Linked DNA regions of Rattus norvegicus. Each later gene encodes a partner of the first gene's protein in a complex. Links are inferred from orthologs where the notes say so. Each region holds a gene or a part of one and is shown in the gene's direction. Other genes may lie near its edges.

Region 1 (3,561 bases):
GCTGTCTCCTCATCCCCCAGGTTAAGATCATTTGCTGCTCTTACAGAAACCTGAGTTGGATTTCTAATACCCACATACAGGATGGTTTGTCTTATTTATTTATTTATTTATTTATTTATTTATTTATTTATTTCATGTATATGAGTACACTGTCGCTCTCTTCAGACACACCAGAAGAGGACCTCAGATCCCCATTACAGATGGTTGTGAGCCACCATGTGGTTGCTGAGAATTGAACAGGAAGAGCAGTCTTAGCCACTGAGCCATCTCTCCAGCCCTCAATGCCTTCTTATGGCCTCCATGAGCATTGTATACACATGGTGCACAGACATATATGCTAGCAAAATACATTAAGAAATAGAATAATTTTTCCCCTGAGACAGAGTTTCTCTGTATAGCCTTGGCTGTCCAGGAACTCACTCTATAGACTAGGCTGGCCTAAAACTCAGATCTGCCTGCATCTGCCTCCTGAGCCCTGGGATTAAAGGCGTGTGCCACACCATCACCACCATCACCCCTGACTAAGGAATACAATAGACTGTTTTAAAAACATGTTTGTGCCTTGGCCAAATAACAAAGCCAACTTAGTATGTGGGACACTATTAGTATCTCTTGCTTGAACTATCCTTATATTAGTTTTTAAAAATACCTTGTTTGAGGTGTGTAAGCAAATCCCCAGTCTCAGATGAAGAACTGACAAGCGTGGGAGGCAGAACAGTTTAGTGGGTATAATCAACACATTTAAAACTGTGGTAACACTTGCCATCAGAATTGATATATTTCCAGAGTAATTGATTACAATTTTCTATTTTAAAACACTTTAGGGTCAGTTGGATCTTTTACGGAGTAATACAGGCCTTTTATATAGAATAAAGGATTCTCAGAATGCTGGGTAAGTAAGCAACTATTTTTTTAATTTTTAGAAAAATTTGTTTATTACAAAAGTAATTGGTAACATTGTAACGGGTATTGTGGTACACACCAATATGCCTGCACTTGGGAAGCAGGGCAGAAAGTTCAGGGCCAGCCTGAGCGATGTGAGACTGTATGTACGTAATGTAGCTCAGTATGTGGTACACACCTATAGACTTGACACATGGGGGCTGAGGCAGGGTGATGATGAGGTTAAAGACAATTTAGACTATATGTTGAAAGACACAGAAGAAACTGATGTAAACGCGTCACCCCTGCCTTTTGTCCTGTGCTTCAGTTTCTCAGAGTAACTGCTCTAGGTAATTTCTTCTAGATAGATTTAAATATTCATGGGCGATTCTATATTTATATGTTATCGCTTTTTTCCTTTTCTTTTTTTTAAGACTGGATCATGCTATATCCATAGTGTCCTGTAACTTGTTTTTTTAATTTATTGTACTTTGGACATCTTTTCATATTGGTACACACAGCTCTTTTTCATTCTTTTTAAGGTAAGCCCTTCTTTTGCTAAATCAGTCAGTGTGATAGCCTTGTCTGCTAATTAAGTAGTCATGCAGATGATAACATAGCCTACAATTTTTCCTTTTTTACTCTGCTTTATTCCCTGCAGTAAAATGAAGGGGTCCGATAACCAGGAAAAGCTAGTCTACCAAATCATAGAGGATGCAGGGAATAAAGGTGAGCATGTGGAGGGCGATGCTTTGTCTTTAGGTCTAGACCTAAAGTTGTGTTGCTCTGTTCATTTTATTTTTTAAGAGAGGGTCCCATCATGTAGACCAGGCTTTCCTACTCAGTATCTTCTTGCCTTGTCTTCCTGATTGCTGGGATTGCAAGCATGTTACTACATGAAGCTAAGCATTTATGTTTGATACATAGTCTCTTTCTTCGTGTACAACTTTCTTTGTTTGAAAGAAAACTCATAAATTCCCACAATGGGTATTTATTGAATGTAAGAATCATAGCTTTTTTTTTTTCTGTCTTACAAATAGAATGTTGTTTAAATAGTAGGTGTACATGCTGCATTGAAACAGCTAAATTTTTGTATTCCTCCCCACTGTGTGCACACCCCAGGATGGTCTGTATAGCCGCTGCATAGTGAGGCCCTCTCAAAAAACAAACAACACAAAACAAGAAAACCCAAACAAACAAACCACACCAAGATTCTGAGAAATGTTCAGTTAGAATGTAAAGCAGACACTTTATGACTGGCTCTTGTAGTCTTTCTTTATCCCAGTTGTGTGTTTTGTTTTGTTTCTCGGGTTTTAGTTTCTGAGAACAGTTCTAAACTTTATATTAAATGAAGTGCTGTCAGCTTTCCTACTTTCTTACAGGAATATGGAGCAGAGATATTCGGTACAAAAGCAACTTGCCATTAACAGAAATCAACAAAATTCTCAAGAATTTGGAAAGTAAAAAGCTTATTAAAGCTGTGAAGTCTGTAGCAGTGAGTAGTCGGCTTTCTAAGTTCCATTGTGGATTTCACTTGAGGCAGCCGTGCCAGCTTTGTTAGCCTCTCATTCATTAATTTATGTGGGATTTAAGACATGTTTTTGTTGTTGTTGGTTTTGGGACTTTGTTTTGTTTTAAAGACTAAAATTTAGCTCCTGTTGTGCTGACTTTAACTTGCTGCCTTCTGGACTCTTGATGTCTCACCTATTCCTACTTCGTCCTGTGCTCTATAGAAAACATAGAGTCTGGAGCCTTGAGTACCTTTCCTAGTTTTTGTGTTGTTTCCTAGCACATTATGTCACTCAACGAGTGTTTGTTGTTTGGAGTATGACAGAGAGGTACTGCTTTGCACTTGGAGTATGTTAATGACCAAGTCAGAGAAAGATTCCTGTTCTGTGTCTCTTACGTGTTTTTCCTTCTATCTCTCTCTATCTGGAATATTCAGTGATAAAAAAGATGACCTATTGTGAAGACATAGAGTGGTCTTAATGCTTATTGCTTGGTGTGAGAAATCATATTGAGAAGGCAACACTGATTCCAACTAGGTGACATTGTGGGAAAGACAGTAAAAAGTTAAATGTTTGCTAGACCTAGGGAACGTAGAAAAGATGAAACACAGGAGATGTTTTGGGGCAGCTAAATTGTTCTATAAAACAAAAGCCTTAAGCATGTGTTGAAACCTATAGACAATGCACGGAGTAATCTTAATTGTACTGTGTTATTTTATTTTGAGAGAGAGGTCTGATAATATAACCAGGGCTGGTCTTGAATGTCTTGAATACAGGATCTTTCCTGCCTTAACCACCTGAGTATGGGATTCCAGGTGTATGTTACCATGCCCAATCATCTGCATTGTGTTTTAGTATTTTAAAAGTTACTTAGACATTAGGGGATGCCTGAGTGGAATGCAGAAAGTAGTGGTTAGATATGGCTCAGCAGTTAGCACTGACTACTCTTTAGAGGACCCAGGTTCAGTTCCCTCTTCTAGCCTTTGTGGGTAATAGCCCAGATGTACACCAATACCCACACATGAAGTAATTAATTTTAAAAATTAAAATAACTGTGACAGAATTTTGGAAACCACACCACGAGGGGTTAGAGGAATAGAGACTGACCTAAGTACTTGTAGAAATGAATGGTGGCTATAAAATGAAAGGCAAAGGAAAATGTGCTTAAATA
Region 2 (4,152 bases), on another chromosome or scaffold:
TTGCATTCCTTCCTCTCTGAATCATTTTGTGGTGGGGCTCTCCAAGGCAGTAGCCTGTCTTCTATGAGTCTATCTCTGAAGCCTTGGCTTTGAACGACCCTCTTTCCACACACCTCAAACACTCCTGGCTTTGGGACGCCTCTTTGTCCATGTTAGTCATTCTCCTGTCTATGCTAGAGTCTAAACAGAGTGTGTCATAGTGATTTATGCCCTGCACTGGTCCCCTTACTGGGTTCTCAGCTAGCATGGAGAGTGTGTATTATTCATGTCTGAATCACCAGTGCCTGAGGGGGGAGGCAATCATTGTAAGATGGTTGACCGACTAACACCATGAACACCATTGTGGGACACACACACACACACACACACACACACACACACACACACACTGGTTTTTATGAGACAGGGTTCTCATGTAGCCTCAGGTGGCCTCAAACTCCCCATGTAGCTGAAGAGGATTATGAAAAACTGACTTTCTCGCCTCCATCTCCAAAGTGGAGGGATTACAGGTATGTGTCATCATACCAGACACCACCCCCCACTTACCAAAAAACAAAACAAAACAAAACTCAAACACAATCACCCGCAAACCATTTTAACATGGCTGAGCAGTGGGGGCTCACACCTTTAATCTCAGCACTGGGAGGCAGAGGCAGGCAGATCTCTGAGTTTGAAAGGCTAAGTAATGAAAATCTGTCTTCCCCATCCCAAATTTTAACGGTTGTATGGGGAAAAGGATCTCTACGTAGTCTAAATTGACTAGAACTCACCATGTTGCCCAGACTGTCTTCAAACTCAAGGCATTCCCCCTGCCTCAGCCTCCTAAGTGCTTAAACTATCTCTCCAGCTCTGTCTCTGTCTTTTGAGACTGGGTTTCTCTGCCTCCCTCTTTCCCCCTTGCTGGAATTAGAGGATTGTGCGACCATACCTGGCTTCTGTTTTTTGTTTTTTTAAACACAAGGTCTCAAACAGCTTCGGATGGCTTGAAAGTAATTAGGTAGGTCAGGCTGGCCAGAAACTCATGACAATTCTCCTGTCTCGGCCTCTCTAGTGCTAGGATTACAGGTGTGGGGCTGCATGCCTGGTTTAGGGATTTTTAACGTGGCCAAGGCAAACCCTAACAAAACCTACACTATGAAAACACCCGACAAGCTGAAATTAGACCAAGGTAGGAACACCTAGAATTAAGGAGGATCCGGGCGAGCCCTGCAGCGATCCCGGCATGCACCACGGCGGTCCCAGAGTGCCTTGCGGCACACACACAGAAACGGTGAGCAGAGCAGAGCTGGCGTAACGTGAGGTTCTTCTCTTCCAGCGGTTGTGTACGACGAGGCAGAGGCAACATGGAAGTGTAAGCGACACGTCCAGGGGAAAGCAGAATCAGCTGGGGACTGTGAGGCGGCTGGCGGCTAGACCTCCGGACCCGCGAGCAGGGCGGGTGGGCGGGGTGCACGGACCGGAAGTGCATGGAGGTGGGGCGGCAGGGGAGGGACCCTGCTGGTGTTGGAACCCGCTCTCCTCCGGTATCTTTTGGGGAGGGGAATGTTGGAAGGATAGAGAGGGGTTTTATTTTTTCTCTTTCTTCTGGTTCTGGGAATGAAACCCAAGACCTTGCACGTGCTCTGGAAGTAGTGTGACCCTGAGATGCGTGCCAGTCACAATCATCTTGTGATGTGGGCTCTGCATGTGCTCGGGGAAACACTCTACCACTGAGTCAGATCCCCAGCCATCAGCACCGCCATCATTGTTTTGTAATGGTGGAAATGGTACCCAGGACTTTGCTAGGCAAAGCCTTTGCCACTGACCTGCATCGCCATCCGTTATCGCCGTGTTCTTTTGGAAATTGGTACCCAGGGTCGTGAAAGTACTGGCTGTGCTAGTTTTCTTTCAGTTACTGTGACAAACACCATGACCAAAAGTAATCTAGGGGTAGAAAGGGTTTATTACATCTTAAACTTCCAGGACACAGTTCATTATGGAGGGAAGTCAGGGCAAGAACTCAGACAGGAAACTGAAGCTTCAGACCAGTTCAAGAACTCTCTCTGGTTTACTCTCTGTGTTTTCTAACTTCTTTATGAAGCAGTCCATGGATGGTGGCACCTGCCGCGGTCTGTATAACCCCTCATCCCTTTTATTTTTTATTTCTATTTATTTGGGGGGGGGTGTTGGGGCTTGCGTAGTCGTGGCTTTCCTGGAACTAGCTCTGTCGATCAGGCTATCCTTCAACTCCCAGAGATAGGCCTGCCTCTCCCTCCCAAGTGCTGGGATTAAAGGCCTGTGCCACCATCAGTTGGCCAGGCGGTACCCTCCTGCATCATTTAATAATCGGGACAGTCCCTCGTGGACACGCCCATAGAACAACTTGGTAAAAGACAGTTTATCATTGAGGCTTCTTTAGAGGATTCTAGGCTGTTTCAAGTTGACAGTTAAGATTAACCAGGAAAGCAGGCAAGGTTTTCTCCCCCTCCCCCCAGACAAAGTTTCACTGTAGAGCACTGGCTGTCCTGGAACAAGCTCTTTAGACCAGGCTGGCCTTGAACTCAGATATCCACCTGCCTCTGTCCTCGGAGGCATGGACTAAAGGCATGTAATACTCCTACCTGGCAACTAGGCAAATTCCTGAGATATTTCTCCAGCTGTTGTTGGGATAGCCTCTTCTTCTTTCTCTTCCTCCTCATTTGGTGGTGTTGGGAACGGTACCCACGGTCTTTTTTTTTTTCCTTTAAAGATTTATTTATTTATGGGGTTGGGGATTTAGCTCAGTGGTAGAGCGCTTGCTAGACAAGAAAAGAAAAAAAAAGATATATTTATTTATTATATACAAATACACTGTAGCTGTCTTCAGACACACCAGAAGAGGGCATCAGATCTCATTACAGATGGTTGTGAGCCCCCATGTGGTAGCTGGGAACTGAACTCATGACCTCTGGAAGAACAGTCAGTGGTTTTTTGTTTTTTGTGTCCTGTCCCCCCCCCCCCCCCAGCTGAGAACCGAACCCAGGGCCTTGCGCTTGCTAGGCAAGCGCTCTACCACTGAGCTAAATCCCCAAGCCATAGTCAGTGCTCTTAACCACTAAGCCATCTCTCCAGCTCCAGTACCCACGGTCTTGCACATGCTTAACACACACCTTCCACAACATTATTATCACTATTATTATTATTACTACTATTATTATTAGGTGGTGCTAGGGATAGAACTTAGGGATGCTAGACAGGTACTTTACCACTAAGCCACACACACCCCATTATCATATCGTGGTGTTTGGGATGGAAGGGACCTGAGCATGCTAGACAGTCACTCTACCAACAACAAAGCCACCCTAACAGTTTATTTTTCCATAAAGAAAATATTTCTTGATGGGCAAATGAAGTTTTTGAATATACTCCACCTGCGGACTTTATATGTACACAGTTGACATACCTAAATTGTGTTGTTATTCATGTTTCTTTGTCTTCTGCTCAATTGTTATATAGATACTATAGTTGGTCAGACTTTTTTTTTTTGGAGACAGAGTCATAAGTAGCCCAGGCTGGCTTTGAACTTGGCTATGTAGCTGAGGATGATGGAATTCTGATGCCCTGTCTTCACCTCAAGCCACATTAGATTAGCCATTCGGTCTCTGAGATGGGGGTCTCTGACTGGGTAGCTCAGGCTCAGTCTGGTTAAGCTTTCTCCATCTCTGGGTAGCTGGTGTCAGAAACCGTGGAAAGTGTCAGCTCTCTAACACGCCCCGGCTCTCCTACATCTTGCTGCTTGGTGTCCTTTTCTCCTTCCTCCTCCTCCTTTGCTGTCTAAATGTTGAACGCCTTAGTGCTTCATCTTGGGACACTTCCTTTGCACTTCCTTTGCATGTATTCTCAGTCACTACTCATTTTTATGATGGCGGTTCCTCAAAAACATTTCTGACCTTTTTTTGTCAGGTTGCTTACATTAAAATGTATCTTGTTTTCCTTTCCAGTCATTAGACAGTCTGTTACCTACTTTTTCCTTTTTTCCTACGGTAGGGTCTCATGTTATCCAGGGTTAGCCTTGAACTTGATATGTACTCAGGAGGACCTTAAGCTTTTCTCATCCTCCTGCCTCTACTCTCCCAGTGCTGTTCCTATTGGTATATGATACCTTGCCCTGTTTATGCAGTGCTGGGGATGGGG
Region 3 (4,286 bases), on another chromosome or scaffold:
AGCTGCCTTGTCTGGCCTCAGTGAGACAGGATGCACCTAATCTGGCAGAGACTTGATGTGCTGGGGGTGGGGGAAGGGATACCCAGGGGGCCTCCACCCTCCCAGAAGGGGAGACGGGATGAGGGAGTCTCTGTGAGGGAGGGAGCAGGAGGGGGGAGTAGCTTTTGGGATGTAAATAAATAAATCCTAAGGCAAAAAATATAAAATTGATATACCAAGTATTGCTGTTGTCGCTAACCAGTTCAATTAGTGCAGTCCTGCATGGGGAGAAGGGGATTGGGACCCTACTCTATCTTGCTCCATTTTATCAATTTCTTAGGACCAAGAGAATGAAGTCTGCATTAATTAATGCACACACTTTATCCATGGGAAACAACTCCCTTATTGATCGTTCTTAGGCCTCGCTCTCATCCAGACCAGATAGCTGTCATAATTCTACGTTCATGTCCACCATCAAGCCTTTTTTCTTTTTGAGAGGCAATAAGCAAACAAATCCATCTGAAAGGTAAGGATGGACGAAAGCTCTCTAAGTCTACAGGTGAGACTGAGGCACTCTGCGGTGAGCAGTGCGCAGGCAGCAGAAGTCAGCAGTTTTCAGAGCACAGAGCCTAACACTCTCCACAAGGTGCCATATCTTAAAAGCCTACTCGTTACAAAAGCTGGAAATGTTCAACTGGTACTTGGGAAAAGAATGGAATATCTCCAGTCACAAGTCTCTGCAGTGTAACTACCGTAGCCGACTGACTGGGGATGGTGTGAGCTTTCAAATAAACAGCCACACAGTAGCAGCGCGCATCTCCTGGCAGAGAAGACTGAGTGGGCCTAGGCTCTGCCCAAGCTGGCTTTCACGCAGCAAAGGGTGAGTCAGAGTATTCCCGCACGGTAGCCCAACAGTGCCACGGAGGTCTGCAACAAGCTGTACACGCTCGCCAAGCCCCTCCCTCAGAGACAGCGCGCGCCCCCGGGACCTATTACCATCCTGCAGAATGAGGGTGGGTTGCACTGCCTGCACTCGGAATTGCCTGGCCCTCCAGCCAGGGCTGGGCGCCCGCACCACCTCGCTGTCAGAGAGCCAGGTCACGGTCTCAAAGTTGTCCCCGCGAGCCAGGGCCTCGGCTTCGGCGCGGTGCACAGCCACCTGGTCGAACTGATAGAGCCCGCCGGAGTGATCAAAGTGCACGTGGGTGGCCACGGCCAGCAGCGGCCGACGTCCTGCATCCTCTTTGGCACCACAATCCTGCAAGAGGCCGGAGGAGTAGAGGTACTCCGGGAGGCTGCGTAGCCCCAGGCCCGTGTCGATCACCACGTCCTGCTCCGAGCCGCGCACCAGCCAGATGTTGGCCCGGTTGCCTGACTCGTAGAACCGTTCTTGAATCCAGAAGATGCCATCGCCCAGAGACTTGTGGGCATACCACTCGAGTGCCGACATGCCGATGCGCAGGGGTGCGGCCGGGCAAGGTGGGTGTGCCTCCCACAGGCAGTCCAGGACTCGCCGCTGCTGCAGTGAGCGAAGAGCTACTCTCAGCTCCGGAGGAGGCGCGATCGAGGGGCGGGGATGCGGAAGGGAGCGCGGATAGGACGCAGCGACACTGCCCAGATCGCCTGTTCCTCGCCCTCCCGTCCAAGCCGCAGAGCGCAAAGACTGCACCCCAGCTGCCGCAGCTTCTGCAGCTGCAGCACCAAGGCGGTGACACAGGCCGCTGAAGCGGGGCGGAGACACCGGGCAATGCTGCCCTGCTCGGGGTTCCGACTGCAGAGGCCTGGAGGGATGCGTGGGAAGAGACAGGACCGCCCCCACACGGGCCGCGGGCGCTGCGCACTCGTAGCGGGAGGCCAGAGTGAGGCCGAGCCAGTTGGAGGTTGACTACGGCGCCTGCCAAGGGCTAAAAAGCTCCTTTCCGGGGGTGTGGCCTCGTAGAGTGGGCGGGGCTTCCAGTGCGCTACCCTGAGCCGGAGCCGCGTGCGGTGAGGTTCTCGCTGTTCCGGAGGTGGAATCTGCTGCTCCTTGCTGGCGCGACTGCCAGCTTTCCTGCCACCATCGCTGCACAGTGTGCCCAAGCCTCGAGACTTGGTGAGAAGGTAACTGGAAACTATCCCGGACTGGGCTGGAGGTGAAGAGGGTAGAAGGGAGTTGATGGGGCACGTGGAGAACGTGGTGGTCCGATAATCTGGAGCCAAAATTCATCAAAGCCCCTCTGGAGTGACTTTGGGCTGTACCCCTACCTCCCAAAGCCTGCTGCTGCCGGCTTCCAAACCTTTAAAAGTTTTGGTAGCCAGATCTTCCAGCCTCACGCTGGAAGTTTATCCTTTTACAAGAGAAGACTTTGCAAATCCGGGGACTGTGGTTTTTGTTCATGTAAAGTTTGGCGGCAGTTTGGCTAATAAGGGCATACTTATCATCGCTTCTTTTTTCTTAACTGTTGGCACCTTTGATAGTGGGGAGAGGGGCTGGTGATAGAATTTTTCTTTAAGGAGATCCTAAATGCCCGTCATAGTTCTGGGTGTTTCCTTGCTCTTTGAAGAGAGCAGAAAAGGTTAGAGCTTAAGGCAAGGCAGAGATCACTTTGAGGGGACAGGGAAAGTGGATAATCACTGGGTGTGGCCTTGCAAGCAACCGAAATCACCCCCACTGTCAGTATCAAGTCCCTGTGCTTGCACCCCAACCATTAGCTACCGATGCATCTCTTTCAGATTCAGAAATTCCCTTGAGAATTTGACTAACCTTCAGAAATTATAAAGAGACCCACGGGGACAGCATTATCAAAGATAATTAGCAAAATCCTTCCTGTGGCACATAAGTCTTTCCTGGAGGGAGAGATGCATTCTTCCTACACTCCCAAACTCTCCAGTGGGTGTGGGAGCAGGTCGCTGCTCTTTTGAGTATTTTGCTAATCTCATCTATTATTCAATTATGCAATTGGGACCATTCTTAGCACTAGTGCCTGAACTAAATGATGTGTGACAAGCAGAAAACTGTTTAAAGAAAAGTCTGATTTGAGTTCTCAAGAATCTGAGGAAGCTGACACTTGTACACAAATACTTGTTAACTAATGCATCATGAATGCAAAAATTGGGTTCTGCCTAAGAAGGTGTTCTCCACAGAGAAACACAGTGCCCTCTTTACTTTATGCTTCTGCGGCAGAAGGGAGGCACTCGGTAAGATGGCACAGTGTTGTTCTGTGGTCATGAGCTCAGAAATAATTCAGTGATGATTATCCAGCTTGTGCCTAGCTCTAGAGGCCTTTGGACCTACAGTTTCTGATGACTCTTTTATTCTTTTCAATATGACTCTGTTTCTCATCTTAATTAAATTTATGCTCAGATAGTCCCAAATGACTAGTTTATCTGGCCTGGTTCCTGCTTCACTTTCACACCATCTGTCAGGCTCTGACAGGTTCTCCTGTCCGTGAACTCCATAAGCGCAGAGACATTATTTTGTTCACCTCTCTATTTCCAGCAGAGAGGATGGTTTGACCCAGAGGTAGGGTTAGGGTTAGGGCTTCATAAAGACGCCAGTGGATGGTCAAAGACTCTCCCTGGGGAGGCAGAAAACCAACAGTCAGTTACTTGGTGAGAAGCAGAAGTTAAATGTCCTGAGCTTTGTTAAACTGAAGAGAACAGTATATCGGAAGTGTAAAGATTTGCCTTCTATTAAATTGACAAGAGTTTGGTTGAGAATGATAGGAATCTGGACATAAAATGTCTAGCATGTTTCAAAGGGTCAGATGAGCAATGCTAAGGCCTGAGCTAATGCAGAAGAAAGGAGAAGACTAGGGAACACACAGCTAATGGTCATTCTTCAGAGAGATACTGTGACCTGGCTTTTGCTGTCTCCCCTGACCTCCAGCTAGTTGAACATTTACTCATCTCCTTAAATGTGTAAGGTTGTGTGTACACGAGGATGATACATTTAAGTCACAATCATAACTCATGACATTTTAGATCTAGGAAGAATTGTAGAGATGAACTCACCATTTTCCAGGTGGTTGTGTTTGGAGATGGTTAGGATAGACTTTGGTCTCTTGAATAACGCCCATTTTTAAATCTCTTGGAACAGATTCCAAATGGGAATTTTGAGGCAGCGTTCTGAGCTGGAAGGGGCAGTGCGAACTTGTCCATGTTGCATTTTAAATTTCAGATTTGGGGGCTGGAAAGATGGCTTAGCAACAAAGAGCTCATGTTACTCTTGTAGGGGATCAGAGTTCAGTTCCTAACAACCACACCAAGTGGCTCACAAGCACCGTTGACCTTAGATCCAGGAGATCTGACATCCTCTTCTAACCTCC
Region 4 (4,361 bases), about 37 Mb from region 1:
CTGGGGCACATCGCCTCTGACTTTCAACTTTATTTTCTGGATCATCCTGTGAGGGATGTTGTTGAAGTCCTGTTCTGGGCATGGGTTGTAGTTTGCATTCTTCACACTTCTGTCAAGAATCCTTGCAAAGATAATGATGGGTCTCCCACCTGTACTGAGCTGCTTCTCAGTTCCTAGTAAAATAATGATCAGAGCCCCTAAATTATCCCCCCAAGAATCCCTCAAAGAAACATGCAGAGTTAACCAACAGAGACTTGAGCTGGGGCTCCATGCTTTAGCCTCTTCACCTGCAAATATTTGGGAACAAGGAGACACAAGTGACTAGGAAAAGTGTGCATGTGTTGCGCATGGGCCTCCAGAATCTACATGGTAGACCTCAGGCTATTACTGGAATACCTACCATCCAGCTGTTTTAGATCAGCTCTTCAGGACTAAGGTTGGAAGCTGGAGGTTCATTGTTGCAGGCTTTTTCTTTATCATACCATGAACTCTGGGATTGTGTTTACTGGAAAAACCTGTTTCTAGTTGTGGTGTGACTCGGCCCTTGGCACACAACCTTTAATCCCGCTGGCTGGAATACAGACACGCCCTTAGAATGCTCCTTTAATGCCCAACAATGAAGGTCAGGTTAGATTGTAGAAGGTATCACCCATATTTGAAAATGATGTCTAGGGCTGGAGATATGGCTCAGTGGTTCACTGACTGTTCTTCCAGAAGTCCTGAGTTCAAATCCCAGTAACCACATCTCATCTCGTCTGTAATGAGATCTGATGCCCTCTTCTGGTGTGTCTGAGGATAGCTACAGTGTACTTTAAATAAATAAATCATTTTTTTTAAAAGTGATGTTTGAGTGTCCGACAAAGTGGGGAATTAGAGAGTTTTTTTTTTGTTTTTTTTGTTTTGTTTTGTTTTGTTTTTTTGTACAGAATAGGGTATGCCCAACTCTCATGAGAGAGAAGGAGGCAGTTTTCCTGGGACAGTTTTTACAGAGAACAAACTAGACACAGATGAAGACAGAATGTGCCAGAAGATTAGAACAGATTGTCAAAGTTAGTATGAGGCCAAGCAGAGCAATTGAGGAAAGGCTGAGAGAGAGAAGCCAAATTCAATCAGTTTGAGCCGGAACAGCTGAGTTGAACCAGCCAACCAGCGCTCAGAACTAGAAGGGGTGCGCTTATTCCGCAGTGAGTCTCAGAAGCTGAAAACCTTCTAGGCCTGAATTAGATTTTACAGAGGGTAGAAGTTTCCAGGCCTAGATACTGCAGCTCAGCAGCACCTCATCACCCAGTCCGGCTCACCACCATCAGGCTCCCCAGGTGCTGCCATCTGCCGGCACCATTAGTTTGCGTTTCAGCTAGGGAGATGTGCGCACGCGCAGAAGCTACACGGACAGCGAGTGCAGACAGCATGCAATTGGCTGGATGGGGAAGGGTCATCGGCGGTGACCAATGGCATGCGCGAGGCTGCCCGCCGCAGTGCCTACCGGGAACGTGTTGCCGATCGCCGGTTGCCCGTAACGGAGGAAGGGAGACGGCTTCAGATTGGGCGCCTGAACCTCGGCAGCGCCACACAGAGCCGCCGTGTGGGAGCTGAGCAATGCTGCTGTTCTGCCCGGGCTGCGGGAACGGCCTCATTGTGGAGGAGGGGCAGCGCTGTCACCGCTTCGCCTGCAACACGTGCCCGTACGTCCATAACATCACCCGCAAGGTGAGGTCCACAGGCCGGAGCTCTCCCTGCGGTCCGCGGGGCCCAGGGCAGGCGTCGGCGCGCTCGGACCTCCCCGCTGCCCGCTCAGAAATTGTGCGAATTTTAGTTCATCCCCCTACGCTGGACCTCGCAGATTCCAGTCCGCTCCTCACCTCTGATTTCAAATCCTCGGGTTCTTTAGTTGCTCGTTTGCTCCCATCCCCTATCTTGATTCCTGAGAATCTTCTTGCACGCAGTGCTGTCAGGTTCTTCCCTCCGCCCGAGTCGGTCTTCCCTGAATAACTACGCAGAGTGACGCACTTCTCGTTCTCGTCTCCCTCTTCCCCCGTCTCTGGTGCATGTGTGCCTCCCTGTTTCTCTCTCCCTCTCCTCTTTTAAAATAATGGCTGCCTTATTTAAATGTCAGCCCGTGCGGCTGTTTGTGCACCTATAATTCTAGCACTCGGCAGGAGAATAGGTTCAAGGCTCATCTGGGCTGCATAGCACACACAGAGCACAGAAAAGCCAAACCCAGTTCTTTCTGTTTATCCTCATTCCCTTAAGGTTTTCACAGAATTCATTGTCTTCTAATGTTTTATATCGTTGTTGCTACTTTGTGTGTGTAGTGCTTGTGTTGGAACCCAGCAAGCTGTGTTTCCAGCCCTCGGTGTTTTGTGTACCTTAATTCCCGTTCCTCTTTACCTCCGTGCCTTAGTTCAGTGACTGCAGTTGTGCAGCACTGGGCCTTGGTGACTCCTCGTTCCTAATGTTTGCACATTAGAGCTGTGTGGTAGGGGTTTAGAGTCAGGATTTGTGGTAAGATGAATTGTGACAGAATTTCTAATTTCCAGGGATGCCTGATAAACATAGGAAAGCATCCAAATGTGACCTGGGGTGCTGGTATACCCAGCTAAGTGACTTCATTTGTCTGTCTTTCCTGTTGGATTATTAGGTGTCCTAGGGGTATGAGAGAAGAGCAAGGTTTTACTAGGCTGTTTTTTCCTTTCAGTTCTGTCTGGTGTTTCCTTCGGTCTCTAGAGGTCTGAACCTCTAGAACCTCTGTTCTGTTTGGAGGAACATCCGAGTCACAAAACCCCTACATTTTAGTGACTCACACTGCTCTTTGAAGAAGACAAATTTTGTAGAGGAAATGCTGGAGGGAGTTGTGGCTTAGTGACCGACTTGTAAAACTGTACAATTACTTCCAATCTGGTGGCTTGTGTCTGTTAGGTAACAAACCGAAAGTATCCAAAGCTAAAAGAAGTGGATGATGTGCTTGGTGGAGCAGCTGCCTGGGAGAATGTGGACTCTACTGCAGGTGAGGATTTTCCCGTAACAGAGCCAGTGACTCAACCTTGTTTGTTATTACTTATTATTATATTTTATATTTATATTGTTTCGCTAGTTTGTGTGTGTGGTGCTTGTGTTGGAACCCAGAAAGCTGTATTTCCAGCCCTCGGTGTTTAATACTAATAATAAACTTAGTATTATAATGCAGTCCTGTCTGTTATTAGGGCCAGCAAGATACCCTGGTAAAAGCACTTGTTGCCAGATCTGTTAGCCTGAGTTTGATTCTTGGAGCCCAGATAGTAGGAGAGAACTGACTCATGGGAAGATTTTGTACCACCCTCCATGCACACATGGGCGTGCACAAGTGTAAAAGAACTTAAGAAGATGTAAATAACAATGTAATATCAAATAGCTAGTGCATGAAATATTTTGGTGATGTGTTTTAATTACAGTGTAGGCACTCTAAAGTCTTTTACATTTTTGTTGTTGTTAATTGATTTTGTTTTTTTGAGACCTGGTTTCACTGTGTAGCTCTGAGTGTCTTGACCTCGGAGATCCACCTGTCTGCCTCCCACATGCTGGTACTAAAGTATCTGCCACTGACACCTGGCTGTAATAACATTTTTTTAAAAGTAGATTCTTTCAAGGATTCTTTAAAGCAAAGTTACTATAGTGATACCTGAACCGTTGTTTCATTTAGAGTCTCAAGTCCGATGTGGACAAGTATAATTAAAAAATAAATCTGGCAAATATTCTCTTTTTGAAGCAAATTTAGAGTTCATTACAAAAAATTTCAGCATTGATTTATATATAGTTGTTGGGAAGGGGGGATCCATGCTCTAGTGGGTGTGGACTTCTCATGAAAATTGTGTTGTATGTATTTTCAAATACCAACACTGAGAAAATGATCAGCCCTAGTCTTTTATTTTCATTTCGTTTTATTTTTTATTACATGGATTTAAAAAAATTATAACTGTGGACGAAGGATGGTTGCTCAAGCTTATGATTCCAGTTACGATTCTGGTGCTCTCTGAGTGGAGGCAGAAGGCTCAGTGCTTATCTGGGCTTTTTGAGACCCTGGCTCAGCCATTCTGTCAACCGATAAATAGCTGTGGGGTAGGATTTCAGTGGTTGAGAGCATGGGACTGGGTTTCCTTCCCAACTTCCACCTGGCAGCTCAGACCTTCTGTACTTGTACTTTCAGGTGATCTAATACCCTCTACTTGCATCCAGGGACACTGCATGAACGTGGTGCACAGACTACCCAAAGGCAAAACATGCACATAAAATAATTATAAAAAATTAGGGGGGGGGGTTGATATTTGCAACTGGAGGTATTAAAAAGTAAATGTTTACATCTTGATTTGTTTGATAAATTTAAATGT

What was found.
Region 2: Polr3f (region 1) and Crcp share a complex: the UniProt entries of both Homo sapiens proteins name them as parts of the RNA polymerase III complex. The link is inferred for Rattus norvegicus from reciprocal best matches to the Homo sapiens genes POLR3F and CRCP.
Region 3: Polr3f (region 1) and Polr3g share a complex: the UniProt entries of both Homo sapiens proteins name them as parts of the RNA polymerase III complex. The link is inferred for Rattus norvegicus from reciprocal best matches to the Homo sapiens genes POLR3F and POLR3G.
Region 4: Polr3f (region 1) and Polr3k share a complex: the UniProt entries of both Homo sapiens proteins name them as parts of the RNA polymerase III complex. The link is inferred for Rattus norvegicus from reciprocal best matches to the Homo sapiens genes POLR3F and POLR3K.

The regions. Positions count from the first base shown.
Region 1 is NC_086021.1:152,368,279-152,371,839, forward strand, and holds part of Polr3f (DNA-directed RNA polymerase III subunit RPC6), read left to right. Parts: intron 1-824; coding exon 825-892; intron 893-1,316; exon of another isoform or gene 1,317-1,424; intron 1,425-1,543; coding exon 1,544-1,611; intron 1,612-2,264; coding exon 2,265-2,377; intron 2,378-3,561. UniProt on the Homo sapiens protein: DNA-dependent RNA polymerase catalyzes the transcription of DNA into RNA using the four ribonucleoside triphosphates as substrates.
Region 2 is NC_086030.1:32,292,945-32,297,096, reverse strand, and holds the start of Crcp (DNA-directed RNA polymerase III subunit RPC9), read left to right. Parts: upstream 1-1,329; 5' UTR 1,330-1,343; coding exon 1,344-1,351; intron 1,352-4,152. UniProt on the Homo sapiens protein: DNA-dependent RNA polymerase catalyzes the transcription of DNA into RNA using the four ribonucleoside triphosphates as substrates.
Region 3 is NC_086020.1:13,718,931-13,723,216, reverse strand, and holds the start of Polr3g (DNA-directed RNA polymerase III subunit RPC7), read left to right. Parts: upstream 1-1,429; 5' UTR 1,430-2,079; intron 2,080-4,286. Other genes in the region: acyl-coenzyme A thioesterase MBLAC2, read right to left, coding at 976-1,429. UniProt on the Homo sapiens protein: DNA-dependent RNA polymerase catalyzes the transcription of DNA into RNA using the four ribonucleoside triphosphates as substrates.
Region 4 is NC_086021.1:189,358,817-189,363,177, forward strand, and holds the start of Polr3k (DNA-directed RNA polymerase III subunit RPC10), read left to right. Parts: upstream 1-1,532; 5' UTR 1,533-1,596; coding exon 1,597-1,707; exon of another isoform or gene 1,708-1,709; intron 1,710-2,916; coding exon 2,917-3,004; intron 3,005-4,361. UniProt on the Homo sapiens protein: Core component of RNA polymerase III (Pol III) which synthesizes small non-coding RNAs using the four ribonucleoside triphosphates as substrates. Can mediate Pol I proofreading of the nascent RNA transcript.